Linked DNA regions of Saccharomyces cerevisiae S288C. Changing the gene in region 1 together with any one later gene gives a genetic interaction. Each region holds a gene or a part of one and is shown in the gene's direction. Other genes may lie near its edges. The genes, in order: GRX5 and KDX1.

The links.
Region 2: of GRX5 (region 1) and KDX1, changing one enhances a phenotype caused by changing the other (phenotypic enhancement), as found in Saccharomyces cerevisiae (one study listed by BioGRID).

The regions. Positions count from the first base shown.
Region 1 is NC_001148.4:442,896-445,706, forward strand, and holds GRX5 (monothiol glutaredoxin GRX5), read left to right. Parts: upstream 1-1,683; coding exon 1,684-2,136; downstream 2,137-2,811. UniProt on the Saccharomyces cerevisiae protein: Monothiol glutaredoxin involved in mitochondrial iron-sulfur (Fe/S) cluster transfer. Receives 2Fe/2S clusters from scaffold protein ISU1 and mediates their transfer to apoproteins, to the 4Fe/FS cluster biosynthesis machinery, or export from mitochondrion.
Region 2 is NC_001143.9:148,550-152,470, reverse strand, and holds KDX1 (putative protein kinase KDX1), read left to right. Parts: upstream 1-1,783; coding exon 1,784-3,085; downstream 3,086-3,921. Other genes in the region: YKL162C (type II protein arginine methyltransferase), read left to right, coding at 3,633-3,921. UniProt on the Saccharomyces cerevisiae protein: Serine/threonine-protein kinase involved in the SLT2 mitogen-activated (MAP) kinase signaling pathway that regulates cell wall integrity. May also be involved in the mating pheromone and the CWI MAPK pathways.

The DNA.
Region 1 (2,811 bases):
GACGACTCATATTCCTCATATATGTACCTACCATATCATGTTCAACTAATAGGTCTTTAACACAGCTTCAGTATTGTCTGAGCTTCTCGTTTAACATTCCTTCTGCAATAGGCGCAATCACACTTAAACGTATACGAGTTGTACATTAATATACGATGTAAGCATTAGATTGTTACCATAGCAACTCATGTCACTATTAATTACTCTCGTTCCAACAATCAAAGAATATTAAATGAACTTCAAATATTAAGTAATTCTCCTTGTTCTGCTTCTACGGCTCTAATCCATATTAGCATACCCGATTAATATAATTGCCTGCGATCGAATACCCAATGTACTGGATTTTGTTGGAACAAGTGATTTATCACAGTTCACACTGTCGTGAAGTAATTTGACGGTATATATCATATATAAACAATATTCAATGGTGAAATCAGCAGTTTGCGTTGAATTAAGAACATATACTACTTGAACATAAACTGGGGTTCATGTAAATGGAAAATATGAGCCATCGCATTGAGCATATGGCAGTCATAAGCAGTTTTGATTCTGCTTAAGATTCAATTAAAAGTAATTGAAAGAGTAAAATGTTTTATAGTTCAGTTAGTAACTTCGAGCAAGCTAGTGCTTGCCATTTAGGCCATTGAATAATTCAGTACGAGTATATGCTTATTATTATGGATAATTGATGCACTAGAACACAAGGAGAACGAGTATTTTAACAAATTGAGCTATTACAAAAGGAATACTTAGATACGGCATTATCTGACTTAAGGCTTCTTCATTAGTGATTGATTAAAAGAAAAAATAGAATGCAAAAGCTAAAGGAATTAAGCGAAACTAGGTTCCAGTAACACTTAATTTAGTAGCCTTATCAATATTAAGAAAGGATGGTAACCTCTAATATATCACTGCCATGTAATGAACTTCTATATTTTAGGGATTTAGGAGGGTTCTGATCTGAATCACTTATGTGTTTTATATTTTCTACATACAGCGCGACTGCTGTTTTCTATCCATAATTATTTTAAGCATGCGCTATCGTTTCTACCTAATGACAAATTGTGGTAACAGCCAGATTTATCTCAATATACATTAGTAGTCAATATCTCAAACGACATCGAATGCCGCACATAGCCATTTATTATAACAGATGAGAACCACATCACTTTTTATTACAAGGTGTCCATTATGACGACTGTAGAAGTATGCAAATCATAAGTTAGCCCAAAGAAGACATTTAGATTTTCTTACGACAATACTAATTAAGGTACCACGAACAAAGAGAGAACAGTAGGTATGTTGTATTGCTACGCCAACTTTTCTTGTGATCAAAAAGTTCAATGCATTCATTCTTCTTTATAATATAGTACAAACTGTTAATTTACTACATACGGAATCATGAGATTCTAAATTTAGTATACAGAGCTTAATTTATTCAATAAAGCATAACTAGTGCCGTAAAGAGTCTAAACCGGTATTTGGCACTGATCTGAGCTTATTGGAAAAACGTTACCCGACCAAAATAAATCACTTCTAGGAAGTAAAGGTATAAAGTATTGATGACAAATGCGTTCTAGTCCCAAAGGGACAAGAAGTTGTATTACTCTTTTCACATATATCAAGGCCACAAAGGTATCTGTTTACTTTTTGACTTTAGCAAAAATTTGAGGAAATCAGACAATGTTTCTCCCAAAATTCAATCCCATAAGGTCATTTTCCCCCATCCTCCGGGCTAAGACTCTTCTTCGTTACCAAAATCGGATGTATTTGAGCACAGAGATAAGAAAAGCTATTGAAGATGCCATCGAATCGGCTCCAGTGGTTCTTTTCATGAAAGGTACTCCTGAATTTCCCAAGTGTGGATTTTCAAGAGCAACCATTGGATTATTAGGAAATCAAGGCGTTGACCCGGCCAAATTTGCGGCTTATAATGTTTTAGAAGACCCAGAGCTACGTGAAGGTATCAAAGAGTTTTCAGAATGGCCAACTATTCCACAGTTATATGTAAACAAAGAATTCATTGGTGGATGTGATGTTATTACAAGTATGGCACGCTCTGGTGAATTGGCCGATTTGCTAGAAGAGGCACAGGCATTGGTACCTGAAGAAGAAGAAGAAACCAAAGATCGTTGATTTTGTTACCACTGGAAGCAAAATAGGAACTGGTGGCCGAACACTTTAATACTCGTGTGCATAATAGGCCTTTACGATCCATATTTATATATGCATGTACATTTGCTATTTTTTTAAAGATTTGTAATGTATTCTCATGCCTTTAGACTTGTAAATAACAGATTCTCTACTTACAAACCCCTCTCTTTGCTTTGCCAAATGAATTGACGTTATAAAACAAAGAAGTGAGAATTATGAATATATTTAATATTCCCCGCATAGACTTGAATCAAAAAACGTTAGTTTTAGAATGACAGAAGCCATATCTTCGTTCTGATTCAACGTGCGAAAGACGCGACAGACATTTGTTGGGGTTGTCTTTGTTACTCTCTTGATTTTCGATAGATTCCGTACTGTTACCAGTTTGCTTTTCCCCCATTTTTTTTAACGTAAAAGGATTGGAAGATAATAGGCGAGCTCAATTTTATTGCCCTGCGAAGCTTTCAAATATGTTAGTCAAAGGATCAAACTTCCTTTTGAAGGTGATAGGGATATAATGAACACACAATTGTGCCTTTAAGCCATTACTCACGAGTGGGATAGAAATGAAATTCTTTTCTTTTAAATGGTATTAATAATTAATATATTAAATAATTATATTGATTCTATACATAAAACATTAGTGTGAAATTTTCG
Region 2 (3,921 bases), on another chromosome or scaffold:
AATTCTTGCTGGGAACCTCGAACCAAATATTGTGACCTGGAAATGTTGTGTGCAAGACACCGTGAAATCACGCAATAAGACATATCTATACCGTGACAACTCCAAAAAATCCTAAAAACGGCAATTACGTGCAGAAGAATAACGGAAGTTCAGATAGTGGAGAGAAGAATTTATTCTTGTCCCTAAAATGCCCACCAGAGCAGCACTTCTAGTAAGCACATGCATGCTCCACCGCAAATCATCATATTGACGGTATCACACTATAAAAGAATAAAACATGTTGCAAGGCATAATTACTACCGAATTGCAAAAAATTGAACACCAACTTAGCGTGGTTCTATCAGAGAACGACATATCAATTCCTCACAATGAAAAACTAACTGACTAGAATACTTCCACTTTGGTGCCGCATTTGATGAAACAGCAAATAATACCTACACTTAAGTTGAATGAAGATTTCGTTTTCTTTGAGATAGCTCGAGGACATTCACGAAAGAAAAAATTTTAAAGAACAGTTTATAAGCTCTTTTTTAGAATCCTATTCTGTTTACTTCACTGTTCACTTACTTTCGGTCCCACATCTACAAAACATCTACAACAAGAACGTGGGCGATACAGCAAAAAATCACTTGAAATAACAGAATCAAGTTTCTTATCCGATTTCCTACTTTTGAGCTCCGGCTTATGTTGAAGATGTTACTTTTCTTTGTCTCTAAGTGATCTTTATTTTTCTGGCTCCAGTGAAATTTGGTAATAGCATAGTCACTTCAACTAAAGTCTGATAGTAATACTTGCAAATATTGCAAAACTTGGAAGAATGTTAATGAATCATTTCTTGCACCATTCTTTCAATCATCTCAATCTCCTGCTGTGATGTTTAAGTATAACATTGAAGACTATGCCCTAATTTCCAATGTTATTTAGTTTTAAGCATATCTTTGTTTCTAACAGGAAACTCAGGCCCACATCCGCAAAAAAATATGTGCCAAAAAACTTTCAACACTTCAAAGATACTTACCACTGCAGGAAAATAATCTACGTGTAACGGTTTGAAAATAAATTTGACTTCATAATTGGACATAAGTACTCCATCGCCATCCCTTTTTAAAGAAGTTTCCACAAGAATGAATGGCTAATCGCAACTAAATCTTTTCCTTGCAAACGTAACACAGTATCGACATTTTCTTACTCAATCCAACGAAGGAATAACCTATCTAAAAAATAAACGCCGTAGTTTTCAGCCCACAAGACGTCATTAAAAGATTTGTTAATTATAAAAATAGAAATATTTCTACCAGCATGATTATTCGTTACTTGAAAGTCCCCAATAAATTTCACTGTTTCCGTTAACTGTTGTAGTTATTAAACGCAGCAAACAGATTATTTTGAACAACACCGGAGAAACACGCGCAGACCCATTCGAGTTAAAAATAGTAACTCGCGATCAATCAATGCAGGAAGCACCGTAGGAATTAGTAAGAACTCGTATTTTGATTGAAAATGCCATGAAAGCAATTGACTTGCTGCAGTAAAAAGCGCTGCCACAAACTTTGTAATTTTCGACAATGACGTTCTTTTCAGATGGTTACTGTCTTTTTTTGGAAGAAACAAAAGAAGGTACTTTTATGATGTTATACTAGGCAAAAAGCCTATTTAATGTAAGTCCTAATTGTCGTTTGAGACTGGATGAAAAGGGACAAAATGGAAGGATAACTAAAGGTGACTTACCGCCAGATTAATTCGGCCTGGAATAGTTTGATATCGAAGAAAGATTCACAATTAAATGGCGACTGACACCGAGAGGTGTATTTTCCGTGCATTCGGCCAAGATTTTATCCTAAATAAACATTTTCATTTGACAGGTAAGATTGGTCGGGGCTCACACAGCCTTATTTGTTCTTCAACTTACACAGAATCGAACGAGGAAACTCACGTGGCTATCAGAAAAATACCAAACGCGTTTGGCAATAAACTATCTTGCAAGAGAACTCTTCGTGAATTGAAACTACTAAGACATTTAAGAGGGCACCCAAATATAGTGTGGCTCTTCGATACTGATATAGTATTTTACCCAAATGGGGCACTAAATGGCGTTTATTTATATGAAGAACTAATGGAATGTGACCTTTCTCAAATTATAAGGTCCGAACAACGCCTGGAAGACGCACACTTTCAAAGCTTCATATATCAGATACTGTGTGCTCTGAAATACATACATTCTGCTAATGTTTTACATTGTGACCTGAAACCAAAAAACTTACTTGTTAATAGTGATTGCCAACTAAAAATTTGTAATTTTGGGCTATCGTGTAGTTATTCAGAAAACCACAAGGTTAACGACGGCTTCATTAAGGGTTATATAACCTCGATATGGTATAAAGCACCAGAAATTTTGCTGAATTATCAAGAATGCACAAAAGCTGTCGATATTTGGTCAACAGGCTGTATCTTGGCCGAACTACTTGGTAGGAAACCAATGTTTGAAGGGAAGGATTATGTAGATCATTTGAATCATATTCTACAAATACTTGGAACACCACCTGAGGAAACATTGCAGGAAATTGCCTCTCAAAAGGTGTATAATTATATCTTTCAGTTCGGTAATATCCCGGGAAGATCGTTTGAAAGCATACTACCTGGTGCTAATCCAGAAGCGCTTGAATTGCTAAAGAAAATGCTAGAATTTGATCCTAAAAAAAGGATTACTGTAGAGGATGCACTAGAGCATCCATATTTGTCAATGTGGCATGATATAGATGAGGAATTCTCATGTCAAAAGACCTTTAGATTCGAATTCGAGCATATCGAAAGTATGGCGGAATTAGGAAACGAAGTTATAAAGGAAGTATTTGATTTCAGGAAAGTTGTTAGAAAACATCCTATTAGCGGTGATTCCCCATCATCATCACTATCTTTAGAGGATGCCATTCCTCAAGAAGTTGTACAGGTCCATCCTTCTAGGAAAGTTTTACCCAGTTATAGTCCTGAATTTTCCTATGTAAGCCAACTTCCATCACTAACTACAACCCAGCCATATCAAAACCTTATGGGAATAAGCTCTAATTCATTTCAGGGTGTTAACTAAAAGGAAAACACCTTCAAACAAGATACTAAGCATGAAAATAGTGAACTACTGAACGGACCTACTGAGCCAAATATAACAAAAATGAGCCCAGTTTCATCGTCTCCCCCAGGTCACGATATAAATGTCAATGATGGTACAAACCAAAATACAAATGAGGATGACAGCGATTTTTTCTTCGACCTAGAAAAAGAACTTGAATTATTTAGACGATAAATTTTTGTAGCAGAAAACCACAACTAATAGATGCGCACATACACTATCTATAATGAATATGTAAAATGCCTGTTCACCTTCTTAATTATTGGTATATACTTCAAATATTGCAAAAAGAGAAAGTCCTCTCGGCGGTTTTGCAGTTCCTTCCGAAAGCGGGAAAAACCAAAATGTGAGAAAGTAGGATACACCATTGCGTAGATTCGCGATGATCCGAATATAAACATGATTCCCTCGTCAGTCCTCTCTCAAGTTTTCTTTCCCGTTTTAAATAGCTTACTAATATTTTCACAAAAAAGTTGATATCATTTAAAGGTGCTTTTGGCGGGATTGAATGATGAAAAGATTACACCCCTTGAGAATTCAAGTTCATCTGAAATCTGATTACCCACTGTTTACTTTCGAGCAATTACTCTCTACAAATGGGATAAGAAGAGGCCAAACTGCGAGAATTTCTTTGAAAGATTACATAGAGTGGCAAAATTTCCCAAACATAATGAAAAGAGAAAATTTTTTTACGCAAAGGAAGCCTGTAACTACAACCGCAAAAGAAGAACCCTTTTCATTTGATAACATTCTTGACTGTGAGCCACAATTTAGCAAATGCCTTGCCAAATGGCTAC